Linked DNA regions of Macaca mulatta. The protein of the gene in region 1 interacts with the protein of each later gene in a pairwise test. Links are inferred from orthologs where the notes say so. Each region holds a gene or a part of one and is shown in the gene's direction. Other genes may lie near its edges.

Region 1 (5,602 bases):
TAAAGTAGGTGCAGCTATAGAAGCTGGCATAGGTATATCCTTAATGGTGCTTTCTCCCTGGGCTTGTCTCTTGTTGTTTTTTTCCCTATATTCAGAGCTCTGAGAAGTGATAAACACCTCCAGCTTTCTTAACATCCTCCCCACACCATCTCACCATATCCATCTCCCAGCATCCATCTGCATTCAGCTAAGGGCGGGAAACTGACCTAGTGCCTGTGCTGCAGACCATTTCTGAGGTCTCCACCCATCCAAGGAGGCAGAGCCATCATTACTGTCCTCCATGCCTTCAGCAGCCCCCCTCACAGCTAAGGTACATACCACCCCTTCTGCCGCGCCCCCTTCCACTCCTGGCACCAAGGTCTTTTGCTGCTTATGTCTAAAGGGATCGCCTATATTTAACTGCCTCAGTGACCTAACCTCTTTCTTCTCATGTGCCAGATGTTAAGATGAAGGAGGAATACAACACATGCTCAAGCCTCAGCTGTTTAGTTGTTTTCACTGGGGCTCGCTTTTCTGGGACGGTATTTATTATCAGACTGGCAAGCCTAACTCCATAGGTTTACAGGAAGTAGGGATATTTTTATAAAACAATTGTGTCCTCCCCACATTTTGCTATGTTAATATTTGCCTCTAACAATTTGCAGCTGTTTCACTTTTTCCTCATTTGTCTCTAAGTTGAAGGCCTTGTTGGAGGGGACAGAGCACAGGAACAGCCTTGACAGTCTGTAATTATTGTACAAATATTTTAATAGCATATAAATAAGTATATTCCTTTTATTTTGAAACAAAAATGATCAGACACTGCCTTTTGTGTGTTTGCTGCCTGTGGCACCCTTTTTGAAAAAGACTGTTACATATTAAAATAGTGTACATACATATAAATATTACCTCTTTTGCTGTACAGTTGTGATAGAGACTGAAGATTTTATTTTTTGTGTGCTTTTTATAAGAAAAAATTAATACACTAAAGAATCTTGCTGATGTGATTGTAATGTACCTATGTAACTTATTTACTTTTGAATGTTCTTCTGTATCTTTAAACCTTTTATTAAATAAGGTTTTAAAAATTCAGAGTTGAATGCTATGTTCTCTCGGGATTTTCACCATCTGGGGTTGATGTAAGTGGGCCTTGTCTTGCTTGCAGGGAGATTACTCGACATTTTTGAGCCATAAGGATTCTCTTTTAGCAGCCTATTGTCGATGCCAGCCAGGAAAAGGAAAATAACACTAATGTTTGCCTGGCTAAAAGATGACTCAGTAGACACAGACAAACAGATGTTTACAAAAGTTTAGACAAGAAAAAGTCTAAACTCAGTATCTCACACAAAAAATGGCGCACTCCGGCTTCATTGGGATAAAATACGCAGGGTGCACAGTGTGGTCAGGGGTAACGGGAAGCCAGGGTTCTGAGGAGAGTATTTTCACGTGCAGGGTGGACTGGCTGGGCAACCCGAGTAGACAAGTCCACCATGAGGGATGCCATGACTTCCAATAGTATCATCTTAAATCCACTCCAGGATTGGGTTATTATTTTTAAAACACGGTGCTTAGCAGTATTTGTTTGCTGTTAAAATGGAAAATTATGAAAAAGGAAATGCGCCATCAGAGAAACAAATGCCCGAGCCCCTCGCTGGCACCATGGCAACCGCTCGACCCCCGCGGGCCGCCGGAGCAGGCGTGATTCGCGCCAGCTGGGGCGCCGTTGCCATGGCGACGCCCGAGCGGCTCCGCCACAGGGGCGGGACGGGGCGGGGCTGACGCCGCTCGCGGGCTGGCCCCATCCTCCACTGCAGCAGTAACGTCGCAGCGGGTTGCGGGTAGGACTCGACGCTGGGGCAGCCGCGCAGCGCCTGAGCCGCTGCAGGCCGCCGCGGCCGCCGCTGCCCACCCTTGCCTGTGCTGTTTCCAGCCTCGCTTCTCCGGCTTTCCTGCTCCTCTGCTGCCTTCGTTTCTGGTCCTCGGCCGTCCTCGCCGCCCGCCCAGAGGAGTCCCCGCGCCCGCCAAGAGGAGTCCCCACGCCCTCCAAGAAGCCGCTCTCCGCTGGCCCGCAGCCGCCGCGACTTCGGCACAGTCTCTCCCTCTGGCTAGTCTCCCAAACGGCCGCTCCTCGCCCGCGGGAAGACCAGGCTGCGACCGCGAACGCCCGATCCTCTCCAGGAGCCGCAGCGAGCGCCCGGCGGGCACGCCCCGCGACCACACCCCGGCTGCTTTCGACCCAGCGCGCCTGCCTTCGCCGCCCGCCCTCGCTCCTTGCCCGCTGCACGACGACGCGACAGCCCGGCTGCAAGCGGCAGACCCGACCGGACCCGGACCCAGACGCAAGATGGCGACGGCCGCGTGACTTCCTCAGCGTCCCCGAGCTCAGCTCCAAGTGTACCTACGGACTGACTGGGGGGGCAGAGAAGGGCGAGATCAGGACTCTGTGTCTTTGTTAGTCGTGAATGCATGAAGCCTACCTCCCTTGGGCCTACTTGGTGGGAGTGTCTGGTATTGTTCTAAGGCCAGGAGTACGGTGAGCCACAGTCTGTTGGTAGAATTGGCGTCTTGATAGTTGAGAAAATGGCGATGACACTGTTGGAAGACTGGTGCCGGGGGATGGATGTGAACTCCCAGAGAGCTCTGTTGGTCTGGGGCATCCCAGTGAACTGTGATGAGGCTGAAATCGAAGAGACCCTCCAGGCAGCGATGCCCCAGGTCCCCTACCGAATGCTTGGGAGAATGTTCTGGAGGGAAGAAAATGCGAAAGCAGCCTTATTAGAGCTCACTGGCGCTGTCGATTACGCCGCGATCCCCAGGGAGATGCCGGGCAAAGGAGGGGTCTGGAAAGTGTTGTTTAAGCCCCCAACTTCTGATGCTGAATTTTTAGAAAGATTGCACCTCTTCCTAGCTAGAGAGGGGTGGACCGTGCAAGATGTTGCCCGTGTCCTTGGGTTTCAGAACCCTACTCCGACCCCGGGCCCAGAGATGCCAGCAGAGATGCTAAACTATATTTTGGATAATGTTATTCAGCCTCTTGTTGAGTCCATATGGTACAAGAGGCTGACACTTTTCTCGGGGAGGGACATCCCAGGGCCTGGAGAGGAAACCTTTGATCCCTGGCTGGAGCACACTAATGAGGTCCTAGAGGAGTGGCAGGTGTCCGATGTAGAAAAGAGGCGGCGGTTGATGGAGAGCCTTAGAGGCCCTGCCGCTGATGTCATTCGCATCCTCAAGTCCAACAACCCCGCGATAACCACTGCCGAATGCCTGAAGGCGCTTGAGCAGGTGTTTGGGAGCGTTGAGAGCTCTAGGGATGCCCAGATCAAATTTCTGAACACTTATCAGAACCCGGGAGAAAAATTGTCTGCTTATGTCATTCGTCTGGAGCCTCTGCTACAGAAGGTGGTAGAGAAGGGGGCCATTGATAAAGATAACGTGAACCAGGCCCGCCTAGAGCAGGTCATTGCTGGGGCCAACCACAGCGGGGCCATCCGAAGGCAGCTGTGGCTTACCGGGGCTGGGGAAGGGCCGGCCCCAAACCTCTTTCAGTTGCTGGTGCAGATCCGTGAGGAGGAAGCCAAGGAGGAGGAGGAGGAGGCTGAGGCCACCCTTCTGCAGTTAGGCCTGGAAGGGCACTTCTGAGTGCCAGAAAAGACAGCTTTAGTGCAGACCTAGATCACAGCTAGTTTTCTTGTCCCTGTGGGGGTCTTACAGATGTGTCTCTGAGTAGTAAAGGCTTAGCCCTGTTCCGTTTTGTTGTTTTTTTGGAGGGGAAGGTTAGTCAGGCCTGAGTATTCATGTAACATTCTAAAATTGTGCAAGCGAGCACCGTGAGCTGCTACAATGCAAGTGGGTCTTGCTGGCTAAAGTGCCAGGTAAAGGGTTGGTTGGACACAGCGCTTAGTGCACGCTGTCATCATGGACATCATAATCAGTTGTGAAAAACACACGAACCTCTGACACTTCCTATTCCACACTGAATGTGAAATTGCATGTGCAGATGTTTACTACGGGGCCTGGCTCACAGGAAGTGTTCAGTAAAAGTATGAACTATTAGATTACTGATAGCGCAGATAGATTTTTCTTTACCATAAATAGTTCCAGATTTATATTGATGGAAGGAAATGTGCATTTATTAGCTATTACTCAACTTTACAATGCAAACATCATATTTCTCATCTTTAAACATGTCGATCAGTTTAATTGAAAAGTATTCTGAGACTGCAAAATGGGGTGTTAAAAAAATACTGCAATTACGGAGCTGTGTAAACCAGTTTCTCATTGCATAAGATACAGATGTAAATTGCATGGAGAGGTTGATATGCACCTGTACAGTAATTCACTTCCCCATTTCAGATCTTTGTCAGAGAATAGTTCTTGTTCATACTGAGTGTTCTAAATTTGAAGTTATATATACAAATTAAAATATTTTAAAAATTCTGTTGTCTTCTCATTTTTCTGGCATGTATAAACATTTTTAGCCTAAGTAAACTCTGTCCTTTTTTCTTATGAAGACTTTGTCATTAAACCATTTATTTTACTCTTAAGCTTTGTATGATACTATGTGAATTTAAATGGCAAGTCCTTTTTTTTCCTTCCCCTCTTGCTGTCATCTTAACATTTTTTTGGTTTATTTTTTAATTTTTTAAATTTTTTATTTTTATTAAGGGCAGAGAGGGTCTTGCTCTGTTGCCCAGGCTGGAGTGCAATGGAGCGATCTCAGCTCACTGCAACGTCTGCCTCCCCCGGATTCAAGTGATTCTCCTGCCTCAGCCTCCTGAGTAGCTGGGATTACAGGCATGTGCCACCACACCTAGCTAATTTTGTATTTTTTTAGTAGAGATGGGTTTCACCACGTTGGTCAGGTTGGTCTGGAACGCCTGACCTCAAGTGATCCACCTGCCTCGGCTTCCCAAAGTGCTGGGATTACAGGCATGAGCCATCTAGTTTTTTCTACTAAAAATACAAAAATTAGCCGGGTGTGGTGGTGGGTGCCTTTAATTCCGGCTACTTGGGAAGCTGAGGCAGGAGAATCACTCTGGGAGGCAGAGGTTGCAGTGAGCCGAGATTGCGCCACTGCACTGCAGCCTGGGCAACAGAGTGAGACTCTTGTCTCAAAAAAAAAAAAAAATCTAGGCCGGGCGCGGTGGCTCACGCCTGTAATCCCAGCACTTTGGGAGGCCGAGGCGGGCGGATCACAAGGTCAGGAGATCGAGACCACGGTGAAACCCCGTCTCTACTAAAAATACAAAAAATTAGCCGGGCGCGGTTGTGGGCGCCTGTAGTCCCAACTACTCGGGAGGCTGAGGCAGGAGAATGGCGTGAACCCGGGAGGCGGAGCTTGCAGTGAGCCGAGATCGCGCCACTGCACTCCAGCCTGGGCGACAGAGCGAGACTCCGTCTCAAAAAAAAAAAAAAAAAAATTTAGAGACCAGATATGGTGGCTCACACTTGTAATCCCAGCACTTAGGGAGGATTGCCTGAAGCCAAGATTTTGAGACCAGCCTGGGCAACACAGACCCAATCTCCACATACATTTTTAAAAATTAGCCAGGCATGGTGGCACAGGCCTGTGGTCCCAGCAGCTCAGGCAGCTGAGGTGGGAGATTGCTTGAGCTCAGGA
Region 2 (4,954 bases), on another chromosome or scaffold:
GTGACAGTAGTACTGTGCTGCCCTGGCATTAACAGTCAGACATCCCTGTAATCCCAGCACTTTGGGAGGCCGAGGTGGGAGGATCACCTGAGGTCAGGAGTTTGAGATCAGCCTGACCAACATGGAGAAACTCCGTCTCTACTAACAATATAAAAAATTAGGCTGGGCGCGGTGGCTCAAGCCTGTAATCCCAGCACTTTGGGAGGCCGAGGCGGGTGGATCACGAGGTCAGGAGATCGAGACTATCCTGGCTAACATGGTGAAACCCCGTCTCTACTAAAAATACAGAAAACTAGCCGGGCGTGGTGGCGGGCACCTGTAGTCTCAGCTACTTGGGAGGCTGAGGCGGGAGAATGGCGTGAACCCGGGAGGCGGAGCTTGCAGTGAGCCGAGATCACGCCACTGCACTCCAGCCTGGGAGACACAGCGAGACTCCGTCTCAAAAAAAAAAAAAAAAAAAAAATTAGCTGGGCGTGGTGGCGCATGCCTGTAATCCCAGCTACTCGAGAGGCTGAGGCAGGAGAATCGCTTGAATCTGGAGGTGGAGATTGTGGTGAGCTGAGATCACGCCATTGCACTCCAGCCTGGGCAACAAGAGCAAAACTCCATCTCAAAAAACAAAAAAAACCAAAAAAAACAAAAAAAAACCAGGCATCATCCTTGAGGAGCCTTTGAGTTACACTTCAATTACATTCCTGGTTGACAAGGGGCAGGTCTAATAGGGCTCACTGGAACCCATGTGTATGTGTCACACAGTCTGCCATGTTGGAGTGGAGAAGGATGCTTTTGAATTTATGCCTACAGAGATTTTACATCAGATCCTTGGGAACTATTTTGTACTATGCATCTTCTGTGTATTCTGTGTAGTGTGGTGGTTGAAAACAGACTCTGGAGTCAGCTAGATCTGAGTTGAAATCCTAGATTTCCCTCTTAGGAACTATGACTTGTGCAAGACACTGAACCTATCTGAATCTCAGTGCTCTCATCTCTCAAAACTGGGCTATGAAAACTATTTGCACAAGATTGTGAGAATTAAGTGACTTAGAGAATATAACAACCAGGCACACAGAAGATTCTTAGTAGATGTCTGCTTCCTTCTCTTGTGTCCCTCTGCTAGGTTTACAAAGATGAGCAGGTGGTGGTAATAAAGGATAAATACCCAAAGGCCCGTTACCATTGGCTGGTCTTACCATGGACCGCCATTTCCAGTCTGAAGGCTGTGACCAGGGAGCACCTTGAACTCCTCAAGCATATGCACACTGTGGGGGAAAAGGTGATTGTAGATTTTGCTGGGTCCAGCAAACTCCGCTTCCGATTGGGCTACCACGCCATTCCGAGTATGAGGTAAGCCATGTGGGTAGTGCTGCTGGCTCCTGGTTCTGTCCAGGTGGGCAGATAGATTAAGCCTGGGCTTGCTGAAGGCACTGATTGCACTGAGGCCCAGGGAAGTGGGATGGAGTTTTTCCAAAGCAGGTGGGCTGAAGGCTCCATCTCTCTGCCTGACTTGCATGCAAGCTTTGAGTTCCCACTTCTGCCTATAATTCAGTTACATTTGGTTCTTTGTTCCTCTCAAAATATAAACCTTCGAGAGCCTAATATATGAACTAGATGAAGCAGCTTCGTTATCCTCAGATGAAGAATTGTGGTCAGTGGCTTTTATCAGATTCTTCAAAAGCATCTGTAACCCCAGAATGATTAAGGACCATTACTCTGAAGGAAACAAACATCATAGACTTCTGTAATGACAGCTTAGTAGATGCAGGATTTGAAAATAAAATGACAGAAAAGTGTAGAATCTGTTTTCCTATGGCTTATGCCCAGAAGGATTCAGAAAGGAATGATTGATTTCTTTCAAAGGATACAAGCAAGGTGGATCTCCATGATTCCTTTGATTTAAGCAATAAGATGATGAGTCTAGATTTTAGAGTTTTTATTTTGTTTTTTTAAAAACTGTGATAGAATATACATAACAAAATTTACATTTTAGTCATCTTTTTTTTTTTTTTTTTTGAGACAGAGTCTCACGCTGTTGCCCAGGCTGGAGTGCAGTGGTGCGATCTCGGCTCACTGCAAGCTCCGCCTCCTGGGTTCACGCCATTCTCCTGCCTCAGCCTCCTGAGTAGCTGGGACTACAGGCGCCCGTCACCGCGCCCGGCTAATTTTTTGTATTTTTAGTAGAGACGGGGTTTCACTGTGGTCTCGATCTCCTGACCTTGTGATCCGCCCGCCTCGGCCTCCCAAAGTGCTGGGATTACAGGCTTGAGCCACCGCGCCTGGCCCATTTTAGTCATCTTTAAGTGTACAATTCATTGGCATTACTATATTCATATTGCTATGCAGCTATTATTACCATCCGTCTCCAGAACTGTTTTCTCTTCCCAAACTGAAACTCTGTACCTTAAATAATAACTCTCCATTTCCTCCTCCCACTTGTGGCAACCACCATTGTACTTTCCTTCCCTGTGAATTTGACTGCTCTAGGTACCTCATATTGGTACCTACATACAGGGACATACTTGTCCTTTTGTGACTGGCTTATTTTAGTTAGCATAATGTCTTCAAGGCTCATCCATGTTGTAGCATGTGACAGGATTTTCTCTGCTTATTTATTTATTTATTTTAACTACCAACACTCACATTTTATTTAGGTGAACAATTACGACTTAGGTTACTGGCCACTTTAACCAAATGAAATCTTTGTGCCAGATTTTTCCCTAGTCAGTACTGATTCTTTTAAATTGAGGCATAACTTACATACAATAAAGTGCATAAGATGCATAGTTTGATCAGTTTTCATAAGTGCGTACAATCTTGCCACTATCATTCTGATTAAGATACAGAAGATGTCTTATCTTTTCATCCCAGAAAGTTCCCTTTTACCCCTTTCTAGTCAATCCTCCCTCAAGCATTGCTTTTATTTCCTTCAGCATAGATAGTTTTTGTCTCTTCTAGAGCTACCACGTATAAATGGAATCATACATTGCATACTCTTTTTTGGTCTGGCTTTTTTGGGTCAGCATAATTTTGAGATTCATGTGTGTTATTATGTGTATCATGGACATATGTACTTTATTTTATTTTTTCCCCTTGAGTGAATATTTAGGGATCCCAGCCTGGGCAACATGGCAAAACCTGTCTCTACAAAAAATACAAAAAATTAGCCGGGGGTGGTGGTACACACCTGCTACTTGGGAGGTTGAGATGGAAGGATCACTTGAGCCCAGGAGGTTGAGGCTGCAGTGAGCTATGGTTGCACCACTGTACTCCAGCCTGGGCAACGGAGTGAGACTCTGTCTCAAAAAAGAAGAAGAAGAAAAAAAAGAATAAATATTTGGAGATGGAATTGTTAGGTCATAGGGTGGATGTATGCTGTACCTCACTTTAAAAATATATTTGTATTGTTAAAGCCTGATTTGAAAATTTAGGAGGGAAAGTCACCCACAATCCTGTTTCCCTAATGCAGAGCCCCTGACTAACAGAGCCCTTGGCCACTGAGCCCTTTTCACATAGTGATCATGATGCCCTTACCTTTTTCATATAGTGAATGTTGTCATGCTATGGAGAATGCTTACAGCAAGAGCTGTGGTAGGTATATATGGGAGGCAAATTGAGCCAATAAGCAAAGTTGCTATTTATATACCCTTTTATATTACTCTGTATGATGTAATTTTGAATAAATGAACATGTTAGAAAGGAAAAGGTGATAAGTAAATTTATTTTTCCTAGTGTAAAAGTAATGTTTTCAGTTAAGAAATAAAAAATTAAGTATGAAAAAGAACAAAGACCTTCCATAATACTAACTGTAGATAACTAAACTATAGACCTTATTTGAATTTCACCAATTTTTCCTGTATTGTTCTTTTTCTACTCCAGAATCCAATCTCACATTTCATTTATTTGTTCTCTTCTTAGTCTCCCTCTATCTGTGACAATTCCTACTTTCCTGGCTTTCATGACCTTGACACTTTTGATGAGTACTGGCTAATTGTCTTTAGGATGTCTTTTAATATGGGTTTGTCTAATTTTTTTTTTCATGATTAGGTTGACATTATCCATTTTTTAAATCACTGACGTGATGTTTCTGATTGTGTCCTTCTCAATATATCATATGGGGGTGGCATGATGTTGAGATCATTTATTACTGGTCATGTTAACCTTGATCATTTTGTTAAGGTGGTGTCTGCCAGGTTTCCACCTTCAAAATTGACTGTTTTTTTTTTTTTTTTTTTTTAAATTCATGAATATTTTGGGTTAGATATTTTGAGACTATGCTACTATGTCTCCTCAAACTTGCACCCAATGATTTTAGCATCTACTGGTTCATCTTGCCTGTAATAGTTATTGTATTGGTATTTATTCTATAGTGACTTTATACTTCCTTCACCTAACTTATTGGTTGAAATTATTCTGTGTGAACCAGCTGTTCCGTCTTTCTCATTAGTTCTTTATTCAATCATTTAATAGTATGGACTCATGGATGTTTATTCTATAGGTTATAATTCAATACTATAATTATTTTGTTGCTCAAATTGTTCAGCTTTGGTTATTGAAAGCCCGTTTAGGTCAGCTCTTGTGTGACTTTGATATGCCTTCACCATCTTTTGGGCAATTTATTTTCTGGCCCCACAAGATGTTCCAGGCTTATCTGGAATGAACCACTTCTCCAAAGAGCCCTAGGTCTTGGGCCCTAGGTTTCTGTCAGAGAAGTGGTTGATTCCAGGGTGTCCTTGCATCTAGGTCCTCTCAGCCAATAGAGCCAGAAATACCTGTATGAATCCTAACCCATACACACACACACAGCCCTATAATTCTGTGTTTTTTTGCCTTTATTTGTATGTGGAAAATCACGAGTTCATACTGATATCTCTGACACCATTCCAACTCTGTAAGTTTCATTCTTGTTTCCCTTTTTCCTTTTTTGTAACTGCTTTCTCCAACAGTGAGAAACCTGGCT
Region 3 (4,667 bases), on another chromosome or scaffold:
AATGCCAGGCGCTACGCAAAGCTCTTTGCCGATTCCGTACAAGAGCTGCTGCCTCAGTACAAGGAGAGGGAAGTGAGTGGCTAGAGAACAATGGCAAACAAAGGGAAAGGCATTTAAGCTTCTGTAGAGAGGCTGCTCAGATACTGATGTTTTCTGAGCAGGCAGAAAGAAGGGGCACTTCAGTCTCGTGTTCTCTGCGCTCTCCTTTCCCCATCCTGTTGCTCGTTTATTTATTTATTTGTTTATTTTGTTCTCCTTTAGGTGGTAAATAAAGATGTCCTGGACGTTTACATTGAGCATCGGCTGATGATGGAGCAGCGGAGTCGGGACCCTGGAACAGCCCGAAGCCCCCAGAACCAGTACCCTGCTGAACTCATGCGCAGATTGTGAGTGGTCTCTGTTGGGAAGTATGTAGGGATTGGTTCTCCAGGATCTTGTTTGTGACTGTTTTCTCCCCTTAGTGAGCTGTATTTTCAAGGCCCAAGTAGCAACAAGCCTCGTGTGATCCGGGAAGTGCGGGCTGACTCTGTGGGGAAATTGGTGACTGTGCGTGGAATTGTCACTCGTGTCTCTGAAGTCAAACCCAAGATGGTGGTGGCCACTTACACTTGTGACCAGTGTGGGGCAGAGACCTACCAGCCGGTACGTGTGGAGCAAGGAGCAGGAAAGCCCTTACCCATTAGTCGTTTTGTAGAGATTAATTTGATCCTGTGATGCCTATCATTTTCTTTGCTTGTAAAAGTTGTCTGTGTGTTTGCCTTTCATTGTTGGGTATGTCATGGTCTTTCTACCTATTTCTTGGGTGTTTGTTGTTGACCCAGAGTTAAGTTCAAAGGGTTCTTGACACTTCCAAGATGTCTGCCATGAAGAGAAAATGTGATTCAAGGAACCGACCGACCCAATGGGGCTCTTTTGCTTCTGACTTCCTTTTGGTGCTTCTGTTCTCACATCCTAGATCCAGTCTCCAACTTTCATGCCTCTGATCATGTGCCCAAGCCAGGAGTGCCAAACCAACCGCTCAGGAGGGCGGCTGTATCTGCAGACACGGGGCTCCAAATTCATCAAATTCCAGGAGATGAAGATGCAAGAACATGTGAGTTTGGGGTACGTGGCCCTGGGCAGGTGGATTGAGAGTCCACTTGAATCCTGTAGTCACTTGTGGAGTGGCAGGAAAAAAGAAGAACGAAAGAGGGAAGTGCAGGAGGGAAGTGGAACTAGAATTTCTGAGAGCCTTGGGAAGGGGAAACTCAGTAGCCCTCCTGTGGGCTTGTCTGTGACTAGGCAGCCTGGGAGCCTTTGAGTGGGATGCCTAGGGAGGGAAGGTTGGGTCCTCGTCCATTTCTCCTGGCCTTATGTGCCTTTCTCTCCCCTAGAGTGATCAAGTGCCCGTGGGAAACATCCCTCGTAGTATCACGGTGCTGGTAGAAGGAGAGAACACGAGAATTGCCCAGCCTGGAGACCACGTCAGCGTCACTGGTATCTTCTTGCCAATCCTGCGCACTGGGTTCCGACAGGTGGTACAGGTAAGGAAGAGTTTGACATGAGGATCGTCCCCTTTTCCCTCACCTACTCATTCTACTCGCACAGAGAAAAGTGGGCAGCAAAACCCCAAACAGAACCCAGGGATTTGTCAAGAAATCGTTAGGGAATCCAGTGATGGGCAAGTTGAAGGGATTGCATCTGTATCCTGGCATTTTCCTGCCCAAGGGTTTACTCTCAGAAACCTACCTGGAAGCCCATCGGATTGTGAAGATGAACAAGAGTGAGGATGATGAGTCTGGGGCTGGAGAGCTCAGCAGGGAGGAGCTGAGGCAGATTGCAGGTGAGGGGCAGGGGAGATAGAGGAAATTCCATTTACATCCTAGCCCCCTTTTCCCCCAAAAAATACAACCTTAACTTCTCTACAGAAGAGGATTTCTACGAAAAGCTGGCAGCTTCAATCGCCCCAGAAATATATGGGCACGAAGATGTGAAGAAGGCACTGCTGCTTCTGCTAGTGGGGGGTGTGGACCAGTCTCCTCGAGGCATGAAGATCCGGGGTAAGAAGGAAAAAGGGAGAGGCTCGGGGGGATGAAGTCATTTAGGAGGGAAAAAGGATGACAAGTGTCTCTGTAGGTCAGAGTATAAGAGTGGACATCTTGCGTTCATGGACACAGGGAGGGCTTAGAAGTAATGCTGGGTGTTAGAGGGAGGCAGAACTCAAAATTGCTCTGTTGTTGTCTAAGTATTGGGAGAAGAGTCATTCCAGGGCTGCCTTCCCTTCCTCCAGGCAACATCAACATCTGTCTGATGGGGGATCCTGGTGTGGCCAAGTCTCAACTCCTGTCGTACATTGATCGGCTGGCCCCCCGCAGTAAGTAGTTGGGCCTTGGGAGAGGTGAACATAGTGACAGATAGGGCCACAGTGTTTATTCAAAAAATGGGGGTGCATGGTGGCTCACACTTGTAACCCCAATGCTCTGAGAGGCTGAGGCGGAAGGATCGTTTGAGACCAGGCTGGTCTACTAAAAAGTTTGTTTGTTTGGGTATTTTTGTTTGTTTGTTTCCTTTTTTTGAGACGGAGTCTCAGTCACCCAGGCTGGAGTGCAATGGCGTGGTTTCGGCTCACTGCAACCTCTGCCTCTCAGGTTCAAGCGATTCTCCCTTCTCAGCCTCCTGAGTAGCTGGGACTACAGACACGTGCCACCACACTTGGCTAATTTTTGTACTTTTAGTAGAGATGGGGCTTTACTATGTTGGGCAGGCTGGTCTCGAACTCCTGACCTCATGATCTGCCTGCCTTGGCCTCTACCAAAGTGCTGGGATTACAGGTGTGAGCCACTGCGCCTGGCCTCTACTAAAAAGTTTTAAAAATTAGTTGGGTGTGGTAGTGAGTGCCTATAGTCTCAGCTACTTGGGAGGCTGAGGCTGGAGGATGGCTTGAGCCCAGGAGCCAGGGTGTCAGTGAGCCACAGTTGTGCTCTGAAGAGAACCGGTGGGAGGGGAAGGGGAACGTTGCCAGCCCCCCACAGATCCTCGGGCGTCTCAAGAAGGCCTGGGGGAGGCAGTGGAATGATCCCAGCACAGGCCTTGCTTCCCTGGCCCATTTATTGTCCTTTGTTTGTTCCCCTTCTTGTTCTTTCTCTCTTATGGTTCCTTATTTCTTTTCTTCCAGGCCAGTACACAACAGGCCGGGGCTCCTCGGGAGTGGGGCTTACGGCAGCTGTGCTGAGAGACTCCGTGAGTGGAGAACTGACTTTAGAGGGTGGGGCTCTGGTGCTGGCTGACCAGGGCGTGTGCTGCATTGATGAGTTTGACAAAATGGCCGAGGCCGACCGCACAGCCATCCACGAGGTCATGGAGCAGCAGACCATCTCCATTGCCAAGGCCGGCATCCTTACTACACTCAATGCCCGCTGCTCCATCCTGGCTGCCGCCAACCCTGCCTATGGGCGCTACAACCCCCGCCGCAGCCTGGAGCAGAACATACAGCTGCCTGCCGCGCTGCTCTCCCGGTTTGACCTCCTCTGGCTGATTCAGGACCGGCCTGACCGAGACAATGACCTACGGTGAATGGAGCTCAACACCCAAAGAGAGGTCCCCTGTAATGATCTATAGGGAGGAGGGGAGGTGAATCAAAACAAATACTGTGCTCCTGGAAACCCCAGAGCCTCCCCCTTGCATCAGGGGCTGGTCCACGGTTCTCGGGGAAATGGTGGGTTGGGGCTGAAATGCTGATGAGGATTTTCAGGAAAGCGTGTCCCTCCTATACTGTAAGGAAGTGGCAGAGTCAAGGGAGGGACACCTAAGAGGACATGGGTGTGTAGCCCTAAAAAGGATGTTCCTCCTGGCCTCCCCTCTATCCAGGTTGGCCCAGCACATCACCTATGTGCACCAGCACAGCCGGCAGCCCCCCTCCCAGTTCGAACCTCTGGACATGAAGCTCATGAGGTAGGAGAGCTGGGTGCAGACGGGCAAACGTTGAGTGGGCCATGCGAGCCTCCTGAAAAAGTGCTTAATCTTAGCGTGTGTTTTTCACACCACCACTTCCCGCTTCGGACATGACCAAAGCCTGAGATCAGCTTTTAAGTGGAAAATTCCACACTTTATACAATAGGGACATGGGAAACTTTCCTACACAATTTTTTTTTTTTTTTTTTTTTGAGACAAAGTCTTGTTCTGTCGCCAGGCTGGAGTGTAGTGGCGTAATCTCAGCTCACTGCAACCTCTCCCTCCCAGGTTCAAGCGATTCCCCTGCCTCAGCCTCCTGAATAGCTGGGATTACAGGTGCACGCCATCACGCCCAGCTAATTTTTTGTGTTTTAGTAGAGAGCGGTTTCACCATGTTGGCCAGGATGGTCTTAATCTCCTGACCTAGTGATCTGCCCGCCTCTGCCTCCCAAAGTGCTGGGATTACAGGTATGAGCCACTGTGCCTGGCCCACAAAAATATTTTTAATAAAATTGTGTTCAGGTTATATGTGTCGGTTGTATATGAAATACAGGTGAATTCCATGTTTAGACTGGAGTCCTATCCCCAAGCTATCCCATTATGTATGTGCAAATACTCCAAAATCTGAAGTCTAAAACACCTGCTCCCAGGCATTCTGGATACTCGGCCTCTATCGCTATTTTTCCACGAGCCTCCAGTGTTCCCTCAGGTTTTTACTCCCTTTTAAATATTCTGTA

The links.
Region 2: the proteins of PNMA1 (region 1) and APTX interact in binary tests that used the Homo sapiens proteins (3 or more experiments, as listed by UniProt). The two-hybrid records come from large-scale screens. The link is inferred for Macaca mulatta from reciprocal best matches to the Homo sapiens genes PNMA1 and APTX.
Region 3: the proteins of PNMA1 (region 1) and MCM7 interact in binary tests that used the Homo sapiens proteins (3 or more experiments, as listed by UniProt). The two-hybrid records come from large-scale screens. The link is inferred for Macaca mulatta from reciprocal best matches to the Homo sapiens genes PNMA1 and MCM7.

The regions. Positions count from the first base shown.
Region 1 is NC_133412.1:146,882,597-146,888,198, reverse strand, and holds PNMA1 (paraneoplastic antigen Ma1), read left to right. Parts: upstream 1-1,756; 5' UTR 1,757-2,559; coding exon 2,560-3,621; 3' UTR 3,622-4,427; downstream 4,428-5,602.
Region 2 is NC_133420.1:66,389,148-66,394,101, forward strand, and holds part of APTX (aprataxin), read left to right. Parts: intron 1-1,117; coding exon 1,118-1,344; intron 1,345-4,954. UniProt on the Homo sapiens protein: DNA-binding protein involved in single-strand DNA break repair, double-strand DNA break repair and base excision repair.
Region 3 is NC_133408.1:47,402,794-47,407,460, reverse strand, and holds part of MCM7 (DNA replication licensing factor MCM7), read left to right. Parts: coding exon 1-72; intron 73-261; coding exon 262-386; intron 387-461; coding exon 462-642; intron 643-955; coding exon 956-1,093; intron 1,094-1,373; coding exon 1,374-1,523; intron 1,524-1,707; coding exon 1,708-1,822; intron 1,823-1,907; coding exon 1,908-2,039; intron 2,040-2,269; coding exon 2,270-2,353; intron 2,354-3,154; coding exon 3,155-3,548; intron 3,549-3,846; coding exon 3,847-3,930; intron 3,931-4,667. UniProt on the Homo sapiens protein: Acts as a component of the MCM2-7 complex (MCM complex) which is the replicative helicase essential for 'once per cell cycle' DNA replication initiation and elongation in eukaryotic cells.